2 linked regions of the Pelodiscus sinensis genome follow. The protein of the gene in region 1 interacts with the protein of each later gene in a pairwise test. Links are inferred from orthologs where the notes say so. Each region holds a gene or a part of one and is shown on either strand. Other genes may lie near its edges.

Region 1 (7,357 bases):
ATCATATACACACCTACACCTTATAAGCTGAAAAGAACTGGTCGCTAAAAATAAAAAACACACAGAGTACAACACAACAAATGGTATTTCTTAAATGGTTTTGTGGAATGGCAATTACGGTGTTAAATTTTAATTTTGTATTGGAATACACAGGTTCAGCAAAGTAACTCTGAGCATTGATCTAAACAACCTTCCAATCTAAGGAGTTCAGTTTCATGAGTCTTCACTGAAGTCTCTTTCATTGAGATAATGCAAAGTTTCTAATCAAAGGTTTCATAACAGATACCAGGAGCTGGGAAGGGAAAGAGCAAGAAGATGTCTTGACATAGAAGAGGAAGAAAAAGCCACAATAAAACATTTAAGATGCTTATAAGGTTTGTTATTGACAAAATCCAGGATGGACTATGATGAACTACAGTTCTACTGTGTACTTTAACAAGTCTTATCTTCCACCAGTACATTAAAATGTACATATATTTTTTAAAAAGTATTATTTGTAATAGTAGTAGTGTTTTCTCCAAACTTTATCACAATAGATTAACAATTAAAAGAAATGTGTAATGTAATTCATAAGGTCTTTCCCTTAAACATCTCCTTACTGTGACTTTTACAGTAACACCATTTATCCATAATGGAAATTAAGTGTGGCCTATTCCTTTCTTTTCTCTCTCTACATATTCCACACAGCTAATCAGTAGCCTCTCTCTGACCCATTCCTTCAAGAGTCTAAATGATCATCAACTTTTCTCCAAACAATTATGCATTAATTCTTGTCCATATCACCCTATGAAATGATCTGCCTCATCCACTGAATCACTTTTGTAAAAAATGTAAGATAGCATCTTAACTTCTCAGCTGAAGCAGGAGTAGAAACATGGTCAGTCTATTAGGCTACAGTTTTCCCACAACAAAGATTGGTCAGAATATTACATTTCTGGTTTTATTTAAATGTTCTCTACATAGGCCATTTTCCATTTGATATGGTCAAATATTAGAAAACAATAAAAAAATATTTATACAAACATCATATTCATGTTTAAATATGGGAAAACCGCGTAAAGCTTTTTTCATACTATGAAGAAAAATGATTTATTAGAGAATAACTAAAAAAAATGAATAGAATGCATAGAATGGCAGGCTTTCCCATGTTGTTATTTGGTGAAGAAAAAAAAAATCTATGCAAAGTTTTTTGCTTTGATTTTGTTGGAGCAGGAAAATTCTTTATTATTATAATAAACATATACAAGATTGTTCTCAGAAGTGAATGAAATCACTTACAAAAATTGGCTGGGGATCATTCAGAACCAACAAGAAAGATCCATTTCTAAAATTATTATGACAATATACTACAACAGAATGTTTACCTCAATCCTGCCCCTCCTTAAAAGCCTCTTCAATGTTAATTCCCACTCTAGGGCTACAGGTCTTCTGCTAAAATTTTTTCTAGATTCTGTAATCCTTTTCTCTTTAATCTCCAGTCTATGAAGAGAGATGATGAGATCCACATATGCATAGCAAGTGAGGATTTAAGTAACTTTACATCTCACCATAGTTACCACATTTGATTTAAACAGGACATTGAATCATTTTGTCATTTAAGATTTTATGTGTGTATGTCTTGATATGTTCAACGAGCATGCAATTTTACAAGCAAATTGTTTTATGTGGTTAATGGGCAAACTACATTTCAATACATCAGTAGATGTGACATTAAGATTCATCATTCATCTCTGCAGGTTATTTCTGGAGGGGAATAGAGCATTTGCCAGGTTCATTGGTGGCTAAAGGTTTAAATGTGTTACTATTAATTTTGTTTAAAAGATTTTTCCCACTACTACCATTTCATGAATATTTCTAAAACAATTCCTTGACGTTTTCATTAGTCTGTCAAAACTGTTCTATTGGACTTTTTTGTTTCTCATGGTAACCAATTTTATTTGACTTAACAGAAGCTGTTCAAATATTTAAAGGCACTCCGAGATGGCAGGAGTTTATCTAGGAGCATACATGTTGTGTCACATATATTCCTTTCCTCGCTCTTATTTTTATTTTTTTCTCCAGAAATAGTAACAACCAAACAGGACACTAACTGGACATATTGTACCAGGAACCTGTTCACTTAATCTGTTTATGGTAAAATTCAAGTTATAATAGGCACGTTTAGAAATTACAAGCTCGGTCGTTAAAACAGATGCCTGTGACGTTCCTTCATATGTACTGTATCCCTCTGCCAATACTACCATCAAGCGCAAGGCAAGAACTAAAGTATAAACATCTGCAACACCTCTCTGTTTTGTTAACATTCTTTCACACATTTTACTGCTAACTCCGAAAAAGGAGGATCGACGGTATAAAAAAAACTGAAATTGGAAACATCTGTGAGATAGCTACGGAAAACGGAATGAAACATGAATAAACAAAAACATGGCGAAAGTGGCCTGGGGTTGTTACACTGTCAGATCATTTTTCCAAGCCCAACATCAAGGCTTTTGTTACAACCAAAGCGGTCATTTGCATGGAGAACCAACAGGGTTTCTTCTTCTTCAGCGTTTCCTAGATCGTAACACACACTCGCTCTCTTCCATACACACACAGGCAAATCTTCCCCGTTGCAAACAAACAATACAGCTAACCACACACATTTTCGCAACTGCGGAATCTACAGATTACAAACGACACTCCGCATACTTCATAGTTTGGTGCTGAGATGTAATTTAGCAATAAAATAACAGACAAACCTTTGGAGCGCTGCCCCAGCCGGAGTTCCTCTCTCCCTCTGCTCTGCTGTTACTGACAAGATCAGGCTGAGATTAACAAGTCCATACTACTGAACACTCTTACTCCTCAGGTTATTCCATGCACTTCGTGTGCTTTAAATAATATCAAACTTCTCAGAAAGTTTAAAAAATAGTGAATTAGAAACAGAGCACAGAAATAAGAAAGCAGAAAACACTGTACGGGCAATTATTACAGCAGCACGGAGGGCACTGCTTTATAGTTTAGGTTGTGTCAGCACTTCCATTCTAAACCCCCATTTTCGGGGGGAGGGGAGAGGAGGCTGTTATAATTCAAGCCAACAAAAATTGCTCCTAGCTAAATCAGGTGATATTATTTCTTTTTAATATTTAAAAAAATCCATTTAGTGACTATTCAAAAGTTTTAGGGGCACAAAAGTACACCCATTTTAGCAGCTTTGGAAGCTTTATTTTCACTTTTCCAATATAAATAAAACATTAAACATTCCTTTTTAAAAATAAAATTTCACAGACCTTTGCTCTACAATGAGAGTCTGGTCCTTCACTTTTTATAAAAACACATTAATAAATATTAATATCTGAAAACTGTCTGAATACACAGTAACTTTTAAATAACTGTTAAGTGAATTTATTGGCTAGTTCCAGAGATATTAAGTTGTCTATTTAAAGAATTGGGCAGCACAGACAGTGGTCCTTGCCAGTATGTGTCCAATCTAATCTGAGGCAGCTTTGTAAAATTCTCCTCCCACCACTTGTTGGAAGCAAACCATTTTTCTGACCGGTGAATGTCCTCAACATCTTGGTAAGGTGCTTGTTCTGCAATGGCTACTTTACAATGCTGCTCTAACCGGTGATAAGGCAAGCCAGTCTGTACTCTTACTCAGTCTTTGACCAGTCAACTATTGCACTGGTGATGATTCCATGGCCTGGATAACTGACCCATGGAAACTGGACCATGATAGACAACTTATTTCATATAGATGACTACATAGCCAGGACAATTTCAACTTTATACCTTTTGCTTTTAATAAACATCTTTATTAGGGCTGTTCATCATATATATGCATGACCAAAGAATAACTGTCAAGCGGTGAATTCTATTCAAATACTAGTACATTCTTTGTAAAGTGTAAACACATGGATTGACAGGTAAAAGTAAAAAACCAGGTCAGACAAAAATCAAAGTGCACATTCAGTTATCCCTCAGTTCGATGGAATGCATATAAGCTAATGCACCCCTCACCTCACTAATGCAGAAACTCAGAATATCACCATGTTATATGTCATTTTGCTATCAGTCCCTTATTTTGAAGCATTACTTTTCATTTTAAAACCCTCTTCTCATCAAAAGATGAATTACAGAAATGTATATGTAGCCAAAGCCTACCACAGTCCATTCCTTGGGGCTGTATTCTCCTATCAACATGCAGTTAGTGAATTCAAATCTATTCAAACGCGCCCTGTTAACAGTCCAAGAGGGAGTGCAGGTCGTTGTTTCTCTAAAATATTATTCCTCCCAACTTCCCAAAACCACGATTGTTTGAAATACACCAAGAAGTATTTGAGATCCAAGTAGTCTACCCTGCCTCTTCTCTGTCCCATATAAACACCCTCTCACTATCAAATGATTGTACGCAACAAGTCACTCTAGTATGGTCCATGTCAACATTATGATTTATTAACAATTCCCGCCCTAGAAGAAATTAGATCTCCCATCCTCCTATATAGATGAGATAAAGCCAAATGGATGCCCATATGAAATATAATAAAGTATATAATTACTTGTCAACAGAGTAAAAGTAAGGCTTGTTTTAGTCTAAGAAATATATAGAGTATTTAACATTTAAAATGTATACTTTCCAAAGTGATTAAATAGTTGGATGGCAGTCATTAATTTCAACAAACTGTTCATTCCCATTAATAAACGCTTTGAAAAGGATGATCAACAACATCTGGAAATACAAATTCAAAATAAAAAAAAAGTCTATGGCATCCAGCTGGAGAACAGGGAGAAAGAAAAAAGTTATGGCCATACATACTCATCTTAATGTACCCCAAATGTATACTTCCTAGCTTTTGTAAGAATTACACAATGATACTTAAGAGCTAACCATTGTACAGATTTGTTTTGCACTAATCACAACTCCCTTCAAATTAAATGAGGGACCCAAAATTTTGGAAGGGGAGTTCATCCAAAGAAAAATAATCTTTATTTTCAAGTTGTCATTAAACCAAAGACCCATTTACATATATGGATGTTTATAATCACTTTATAATAGTGATAAATCACTTTATAATCACTTTTTAAATTTCAGCATGTTACTGACCACTCTATTTTTTAACATAAGTCTAAATATTTGAGTGATTAGTTTAGTTTAAGTCCACACAGGATGAATGCCATTATTTGCATGAATTATTAGTTGCGACAATCTTAATTTGAAAATATACTAACAATGCACATATAGGCTGTATAAATATTTAACCATGCCACCTAGAAAGTAAATTAGTTGACATTCAACAATTAAAGCTGTCTTTCTGAAGTTGCAATATTTAAAGGTTAAAGATTAGACATGCTCCCTCTTGTGTTAAACTAAGAATGCATGCTGTTTTCTGTGACATGATGGTAGCTCAGCCATCTGTTTCCACTGAGCAAACCTCAAACTTTGATTGCTAATTTCTGACAAACATCCACCAATAGTTCTACAGTACAAAGGTTGGCTCACTTTGCACACATTCATAGGATTACTTTATGTTTGAGAAGTACTGTCATTTTGCATACTGTAGAAGATCACCATTAAGCATAAAATAACATACCAAAAGTATGGTGCAATAAAGATTAGTGGACATAATTAAATATATACACATGAAAATAAACTACATACAAAATATATATCAAATATTAAATAACTTTATTTCATACATGGCCTAATAATTTACAACAAAATATCCACCCTTTGCTAATTTTTCCTTTCCATTAGTGTTAGTTAGTTAGTTACAGGATTCACGTAGTCTAGCATAAAAGTTTGCTTAAAGAATCTTTACAAAATGTGTATTCATTTCATAGCTATGTGAAGATAGGAACACAACAGTGCTACGTAAATGTGCATGTGTGCACAAATTATCTACCTGAGGCTCCGATCTTTCAGCTTGACCCACTGAAAGCCTTATACCCGCCTGGAGCCTCAATAAAGTCAATCAATGTCCATTCATGCAGACTCAGTTGCCCTTAGGGCAGCGATTCTCAAATGTGGTGGCCACTAAATCCCCTATCTCTGTCCAGGAGACTAAGGCAAAGAAGCAGCCTCTCTTAGCAGTGCCCACTGGCTCCACAGGTAGTCTTCCACTTCCCCAACCCCTTTGTCCTTCCACTGATTCAGTTGCGGAGCTCTAGGGGCAGGCTCCAAACCAGGGTAGCTGTTTTCAGTAGGGTCAGAATACCAGGTCAAGGCAAAAAGTCGGGTGAGAGTCTGTGGAAAGAATCTCAGGGTAGCAGGGGTAGGATAAGTGGAACCTCAAAAACAGGGGGCTGGGGGAAGAAGCAGGGTGAGAGGTGATGGGAGGTAGCATGGACTAGAGGCACCAAAGTGCAACTATACATTATTTTCAATATTGAATATAAAAATAAACCCTACATAAATAAATCACAATGATTTGGGCTTGTGTGTGTACACATTTGGTTTTCCTAATATTAATTATGTATTTTAGGAATATTTGTCAGACAGTTGTTGTTAGAACTTATGATGCCTTATGACATCTCAATGAGAGCACAGACAAGCACTGTAAATTAGAAGTTTAACTAGCTAACACATTTTAACTAATGTGATTTTCAACAGGACTTTGCACTTAGTGGAGAGAGAATAAATAACTTAAAATCCTGTTGATTGGTTGTGGCCAATCCTAGACTCTATGGTAAATTTAATTACAACCTGTAATGGATGTTTCATCATCAGCTGCGGTGTCTAAAAGAGGTACAAAGTCCTGTTTAAAACATTTGTTATTTATTAGGTAACATTTTAAAATGTAATGTATTTTATAGTCTTTACTGAAGAATATTTGGAAAGTTTTAAAATTATGCAAACTACCCTCTTTTTCTTGTAAAATGTGTTTTTCATTAAATCCAATTCTCTAAAGGTTAACAGAAATAATGCAGCCAAACCTTAACCAGGAAGGGCAGCAAAGTCATGGATGCTTCATATACATGCACTATTAAATCTTGGACCAATATTTAAAAAGGGCTCTAGAGGCGATCCTGGCAATTACAGACCGGTAAGTCTAACTTCAGTACCGGGCAAATTAGTCGAAACAATAGTAAAGAATAAAATTGTGAAGCATATAGAAGAACATAATTTGTTGGACAAAAGTCAGCATGGTTTCTGTAAAGGGAAATCCTGTCTTACTAATCTATTAGAGTTCTTTGAAGGGGTTAACAAACATGCGGACAAAAGGGATCCAGTAGATATACTATACTTAGATTTTCAGAAAGCCTTTGACAAGGTCCCTAACCAAAGGCTCTTGTGTAAATTACATGGCCATGGGATAAGAGGGAAGGTCCTTTCTTGGATTGAGAACTGGTTAAAAAGACAGGAAACAAAGGGTAGGAA
Region 2 (7,875 bases), on another chromosome or scaffold:
GATTTACTATAGCTATATAAAATCAATAAAATACCCATGTCACCCTCATTTCCAATATATTCAGCATAATTACTAATTCTACAATAGAGACTACTTTGCTGTTCCTGTAACATTTTAGACTTGGAGACCAACCAGAAAATGGAGGGCATACACCAGTACTATATAAAGCACCCTTGCAAAGTTGCAACGAATGTCTGCCTGCCACGGCATAAAATAAAATAAAATAAAATAAAATAAAATAAAATAAAATAAACATCATGACTGATCATGAAAAAAGAGATGGTTTGCCTTCTCTGCAGGAAGAAAAATTGCCATAGGCATGTAGAATTTTACAAGGCTAATATAAGAAATGAAAGGAACTAAACTGTTTATCTTCAATATCTTACATAAAAACAGCTCACTTTTTTCCTCATTTTAAATGCATAAAATAATATCAACAAAACTGGCAATAGCTGGCGACAATAACACCACATAACCCATATTTGAAGTGACTGCTTCTTGAGACTGAATTAAAATTATGTTTCTGTAAATGACAGTTTAAAAAATTCTAACAGGAATACACCCAGTATTTAAAAGTGACCACTCCTTTTCACATTGCAAACTCCTGCACCACCCTGCCTGTCATCAGTAACATTTCATGTCAGATCATTACTTGGCTAAACAACTCTATCCTCCAGTAAGAAAAGAGAATGGAATGGTTTAGGTGGATTTACAGGGTGACGTTTGCTTGACTGGCACTCGTCTGCGGTAGCAGCTCTATGCACATGCTTTTAATGTAAATTTTAGAGTGTTTGTTTCCCCAGCATTGGAGTGTAACTAGTAGAGCAGTCACTTATTTTTTTAATAATCAGTTTGATAAAAAATCAACATTACTCACTAGAATTTCTTAAAATTATCTGTATAGAACAGTTATTTAATCATCTGAATAGTTAAATTAGTAAGATTGACAATATCAACTACATAGACTATTTATCCAGATTACACATTCCACTGTACTTAGACTTTAACTGAGCACAGTCAGCTTTTATCAGTTGAATTAAAGTTATTATTACTATTAAGAAATACAGAACTATAAGCTTTTTGTGCAAGGAGAGAAGCATAGAAGGGGAGAGATGGAAGGAATATAGCACAAAGGATTTGGTACTCCTGTCCCTCCCCTGCCCCCCCCCCCCCCCCAAACAGTCAGCTTAAATACACTGTTAATCAGATCTGGCAAGTTATTTTTTGCCCTCAATATAAACATGCACTGAAAGTTCTGATCGTAGACTCTATAATGAACAAAATCATAATTGATTCCTCTTGCAAAGAAGCCTCTTGCTTTAATGCAAACTAATGTCACTGAGGTCAGCACTCACTCGTCAGGATACAGCAAGCTTATAACAGACAAGCTGCGGTGGCTCCCAAGATGACGCTCAACACTCTTCATTTCATGACTGGTCTCAATGGAAAGTTCTCCCTTGTCAACTCTAGCTAGATCCACCTTAATTGAAAAGAACAGCCATAGGCCATCTCCCAGCTACTTCCATGAACTATGCACTGTGGCAAGTGACAGTTACACATCATTACTACTGGAGACAATAATGACTGTAGCACAATGACCACTATTAATGCCAAATAGTGTCATCCCCATCTTAACCCATTACCCTCCTCCTCCAAATAACATGCACACCGATTTTTTTTTTTTTTTTTGGAATGACAAACTAGAGCAGCAAACCCCAAATTCAACATGACACCTTGTTTCCTTGCCACTGTCACTTACGTGACCAAACAGCCCCACTCCGTGTGAACTACACGTTCGCATGCATTATTTGACAAAGCTGGGTTTGGTTTGGACTGGGTTGGTTTGAAAACGTCCTTCTGACTGGTAATTTAACAAGAGCCTTGCCCATAGCCTTGTTTTGCAAAAGCTTCCCCCTCCTACCCCTCCAATGCTTGCCCCATTCAAGAGATCAGCCTTCTAACGTTTTAAAATGGTTTAATGACCGGAAAATGCAATGGTCTCTGAAAGCTGATTGATCGGGACAGCAAGAGAAAAAAGAAAAGGTGTTTATTCGGATAAGAAATGGAATAGGCACAGACCTGAACAGAAGCTGCAGAGCAGGAGAAACTGTTTTCTTTCCCTTATACAGTCCCCTCTCCCTCTCGATCGCTCCCTCCCTCCCTCCCCCTCACACACACACACACTCTCGCGCACACACTCGCTCGCTCTCGCTCACACACACACACACACACACACACACAGTCTCCCTCAGCTGCTCTATGCAGTTCTCAGGAAATGAATGGGGGCAACACAGAGAACTGTTGTACTTGCAAATGACTTACCCGGATCACATGATGTGCTAAATGTAGGGTGGGCCAGTGGGTGGAGGCTTCAGACACAAGAGAGGACACAATATAGCGCGGGGGAGCCTTACCCGGGACGCATCGAATTGCACTGGGGGCCCGCTCGAGGGGGGAGGGGTGGCGAGGCAGCCCTTTCTCCTACTCTCTTTGCCCTCCTCGGAGCGGGGGGGACCGGAGGGGAGGGCGGAGCGGAGGGGAGAAGGCCACGCAAACAAAAGGGGCCCCCGTTCCTCTCCCCCCCCCCAACAAACCAAACCCCGCGCGCGGGCAAGTCCCTTTTCTGAGCGTGTGATGGATCAGCAGGAACTAAACTGCTTTGCTGGCATGTAACGCACCCCCCTTCCCTTCGCCCGCCCCCCAATACAATCAATCGGGGGAGGAGCAAGAGGGGGCGGGGCCGGCCAGCTGCGGCTCTCGCTCGCTGAAATCCCCGGTGCGCAGCCAGCCCCTCCCCGGCCTGAGAGGTGGGCTGGGAACACTCCCCGCCGGGCGCGCTAGTGCAGCTCGCTGCTGCTGCTGCTGCTGCGCCGGGACCGGCTCCGAGCGTGCCCTTGCCGCTCGTGCACAAGCTCCGCCTCGGGCTGCACGCGCCCGTCTGCGCTGGGAAGCCGCCTGCTCCCCTCCCCGGTGCGCCCTACCTGGGCTTCGCTCTCCCCCGGCCTCCGCGGGGGGAAGGGCGGCGCAGGAGCTCTGCCGGGGGATAAGGAGCTAAGCGGGCGCGAGGCCAAGCGGCGGAGGAGCCGGGCGGAGGCGGGGAGGGAGGTGGGCTGGAGAAGCAGACGGGGGAGGGGGAAGTGTAAGAACAGCTCAGCCTTTGGGGTACACCGGCGGGGAGGGGGGAGGGTGAGAACCAGATGGGAGGGCGTTTAGGAATGAGAGCAGATTACCCAGGCTAGGGGGTGTCGGTGGTGGCGCGGAGGGGTAGTTGAGGAATGTGTGTGACAGGAGGCGCTGGCTGAGGGGAGGGGCAAGGAGAGTGGGTTGGATGTACCGAGTGAGGTGTGTTGCTTATAACAATGGCAGGTTCAGAAGCGATGTTTTTTATGCTAAGAGTGTCTCATTCAAAGAAATAGTGAGACTAGGACACAAGCAAAACGGGAACTAAACTAAAAATTGCCAGATTTTCTCTCTTAGTCACCAGGATGGTCAAAGTTTAAAACACAACACAATGAACTAGGCATCGACCAATGTTCCTTCTAGCCTGCTAACAATTTGACCACTGGGTGTGACAAAAGAAAGCTGATAGAGACCCACTGGCCAGGTACTTCAATTAAAAAGACAGGAGACTATTTACTGAGCTTTGACATACAGAACACTGTTGATCAGCATCAACCATTGACCTGTTTTTGGTTTATGGCAACACAAAACAGTTCCTATAGATATGCTGCTGCTTTGAAGGGGTTGTAATTAAATTTAAAAAATTAGTTTTCTTGAAAGATGTGGTAAAACATCCTGTGGGAAAATCTGAGTGTCATTGCTACAATTCTGTCTCAAAACATCCTAAAATGTGAAATTTGTATTTGTAAGCACTGCAGGGTCAGGCTCTTCATGTATCATAAATACACAGAAATTATTTCTAAACATTTTGTTAGTCTATAAAGTGCTACCAGACCATTTGTTATTTTTTAAGTTTATTTAAAATAATGACAGGGCAAAAATTAATAACCAACACTTAGAAACTTGGGCAAATGTTGTATATATTGTAATATATTAAAAAGCAAGAATAATCTTTAATATGTTGTGAAATAAAAATACTATGTCCAAATTGTTAAATTTTGAGAAGCTGTGACTGAAAATGTACAGGATATACTTTAAAAAGATATTGTAAGGTTTTATTTTTTTTTTAAATAAAACATGTACCTAAATATGTACTTGAACTATAGAGTGTTTTGGGCAAGATCCTGATCCTTGTACGACCTAGAGACTTTAATCAATTAAATGGGGTCCCCTGGTATAGGGAAATCCTTGCGTGGTACAGAGCTAGTAGAACTGTTCTATGCTATCTACCCTTCAATTTAGGGCTGCTCTAAATTGAGTGCTAAACTGACCCCTGGTTAACCCCAGAATCAAGGGGATGTACAGATGGCATAAGACACTTCCACCCTTTCTCATTCCACATCAGTTCTGCAGCAAGTGCAGCTCATCTGGTCCAGAAAATCCAACCTATAATCTTTAAAGCAATTGTTACAATCGTTTGGTGAATAACACATTAAAACATACAGGGCAAATCATCTTGTAATAGATGCAATAGATTATTACCTGACTTGTTAGCTAAAATATATAACTACATTTCAACAATCCTGTTTATAAGCGTATTTACACAAGAAACCAGACTGGCTCCCTGTTGTTTTGGGGAAGTTTATAGAAACTTACAAAATATTACTGCTTGTAGCATATACAAAGTAAAGTTTGCCTAGACAGTATTTACCTAAGAGGCCAAAATAACCACAAACAGCTTCCACTTCCTTATACTATGATGTGTTGTAGCTACATCCTGCTCTGTAATCTACAACTATGTGTCTTTTCATGCAATTTGTCATTAACTGTTATAACATGAACCACTTCCATATGGCTTCCTTTGGCAAAAAAAGAATTAGTTATTGTCACCAGCTATTTGTCACTGGTTCTGAACTCCATTTTCTTCATTGTTAAGGAAAGGAAGATAACAAATAAGCAAAGTTAAGCATATACAAATATGCCTATACACAGACATGTACAACAGAGAGAGAGATGAGGCTTATTTCTCCACTGCCTAATAACACATGTAGACAATTCCTCTTGTGGAAAGTGAGTATGCAATGCTAACAAATCAGAAATAGTAGTGCCACCAACTTTCAAAAAGTGAATGGCAGCTTTTCCTTCATAATGCTCTTTTTATACAGAACACATTCCAAAAATCTTATCATATATTATAATGTATTAAATTATATAAAATAATTTTTTACCATTGTCAAAATTAAGAGTTATAGCACAATATTTTAAACATCAGTCTTTAGTCCATATTAAGTGGACTATAATAGCACTCCATTGGAAACATTCCAGTGATAGACTTGTATCATGTACTCACAATTATCAATACAAAGCAAAAGCATTTACATTCATTCTTCCACTTGGTGCTAGGAGCAGCGATTTCCCTGTGTTGGGTGTACATAAGGAAAAATCATAGCACTGGCTTTCACCCACTGGGGTTAAAGGGTTAATGAGCACTTGACATATGAAAAATGAATAGTGATAGTAGGAAGAAGATTGTATGTAGACAGTGTGATGAGGTACATAATAGAGAAACATCATGTTATACACGCTGTTGTGCAGTGAAAGGCAGGTAAAGCTCATTTCTGTTGAATTTCTGATAAAATATTTAAACCATCAATATTTATTTTATCACACTGAGAATATTTTATTCATGTATCTAATTTATCTAAGGAAATCATCCAGAGGAAGAGTTGGTTGAGCTGACATTTTGTGGTTATAAAATTTGTTCTGTCAACTTCATTATGTGCTACGTTTGCTGTTTATGTGGTCTGTTGCCTGTTTCTAGGAACTATTACCCATATCCCTGAATTTGCAGAACTATATCCAAGGTAAAAATATGACTGCATTTACAATAGAAATCAAGATGTATTACATGATTATATATCAATAAATTGATACAGAAATAGTGATAATGTACATTAATATTTAATATATAGTGCTGATATATAGAGAAATATAGTTCTCAGTCACATACTTTTATTAAGTCTGTCCCCTATTAAATCACAGTCATGACTCACTCATAATACTGGATTCCTTTATTCTCATTCTTCTGCCACTGATCAGAGCTGGATACACATTTTTTGTTTGAAAATTTTCCAAAAATATTACCGTTTTTCAAAACCAAATACCCATGAAAATATGTTTATTATCTCAAAATTTTCCTTTCTTGCCTATTTTTTGTTATTTTTGGGGTTTGGAGTGTTTCATCATTTTTCTTACTAATTGATGAGGGTTTTTAAAACTTTTTTTTCAAAAACTGAGATTTTGAAACAACATGTTTATATTTTGAAAACTTAAATCAATAAAATATTTTCACATAAAATTCTGAGAGAAAATTAGCCCTTTTTAAACCCCAGTAGAACAAACTAGTATTTGAAATATTAATTTTTAAAAATATATATGTTTATGCCAGCTCTACCACTGAATATCCTGCCCCTTGTACATACGCATTGTCGGGGCGGGGCAGCTTGCATGTTCTTATGATCTCAGGAGCTATGCCGGCAGGAGCTTAGTGTTCCTGGTAGGTTCAACCAAGCCGGCAAGGTCAAGCGGGAAGGAGCCGGACTAAGCATGCACACTGATCCTCCAGGATTGAGGGTTTGGCTTGGGGCTAACAACCCTTACCTAGAAAAAGCCTTTTGTTATGGAAACAGCAATAAAAAATTGTTCCTGCCCTATACGCCAGCATGCGTAAAGGACAATGATGATAATGACCACTGAATACCACTAGAGACTACATGTGCTTCGTTCACTACAAATACATTTTCTCCTCACTCCGTTTTTCCATATTCCTTACAAGGAAGTTTTGCTGTGCCACCTTCATTCTCTCCAAAACCCACACTACCAAGCCACTTATTTCCTACCTTCTGCTCCTTCTTAAAAGCTCTCCCTCTCTGCATCAGAGCTTGCTAATTTTTTTAAAAAGTAAGATCAACTGAAACCTCCATCCTCATTCTCTTTTTCTTTCACCTTTTAAGTTTCTCCCCTGCCACTGATAAGGAAATTTCTTTCCTGTTGTCCTCTAAAGTCTTCACTGTTTTGCACCTTAATTATGCTATCTTTTAGACTCTGATTCTACAAGGAATAGTTTTACTGAACTCTGGTTAGCTAATTCTATGTTCAAAGTTAAGCACATGCTTACGTCATATCAGGATCAAGGTCTCAGTATGCTCCAGGCTTTTTCCATACAGAACACTGTTTTCTCCAAAAGAACTTACCTCAATTGACTGTGTGCAGTCAGGTTCTTTATTAGTGTGCCATGTCACCAAAAGAGAGCATCACTATAGTACCTGACATGGATATAAAATTGGGATCCACAGCCAGATGCATATATCTGCAGATATAAAGTTGATATCTGCAGATTTGCAGGGCTCTAGATATAAAATTTGCATCTCCATCCATCTTCAGTCCACAGAAATGGTTGTCAGATATCCATCTCATCAGAAGGTGCAGATATTCACAGGTTTGCTGGACTCTAAGAATCAGCCAAGTCAAAACAGGAAATCAGTAGCATATTTTGACAATTTAGACTTGATACAAACAAAGATACATTTAAATTAAAGCATATATGGACTCCCTGAGTCCTCTTTCCTACTGTTTTGAGACATTCAGTATTTACTTTGTCATTCTGTAATTTTTTGAAAAGTGAATTTTCAGTTCACCTTAAATTTTTCCCTTTCTACTCAGATTTCACTTCCTAACTTAAATTAAAAACAAAGAAACAAAAATCCTTAGTTTGGAATGCATCATTGGACATATATTACATGATATATGTTGTAA

Evidence for each region. The genes of interacting proteins can lie anywhere in the genome.
Region 2: the proteins of CTBP1 (region 1) and KLF12 interact in binary tests that used the Homo sapiens proteins (3 or more experiments, as listed by UniProt). The link is inferred for Pelodiscus sinensis from reciprocal best matches to the Homo sapiens genes CTBP1 and KLF12.

What each region holds. Positions count from the first base shown.
Region 1 is NC_134715.1:120,933,821-120,941,177, reverse strand, and holds the start of CTBP1 (C-terminal-binding protein 1), read right to left. Parts: upstream 3,015-7,357; 5' UTR 2,739-3,014; intron 1-2,738. UniProt on the Homo sapiens protein: Corepressor targeting diverse transcription regulators such as GLIS2 or BCL6. Has dehydrogenase activity. Involved in controlling the equilibrium between tubular and stacked structures in the Golgi complex.
Region 2 is NC_134711.1:268,241,191-268,249,065, reverse strand, and holds the start of KLF12 (Krueppel-like factor 12), read right to left. Parts: upstream 3,072-7,875; 5' UTR 2,982-3,071; intron 2,757-2,981; exon of another isoform or gene 2,323-2,756; intron 2,251-2,322; exon of another isoform or gene 2,080-2,250; intron 2,070-2,079; exon of another isoform or gene 1,356-2,069; intron 1-1,355. UniProt on the Homo sapiens protein: Confers strong transcriptional repression to the AP-2-alpha gene. Binds to a regulatory element (A32) in the AP-2-alpha gene promoter.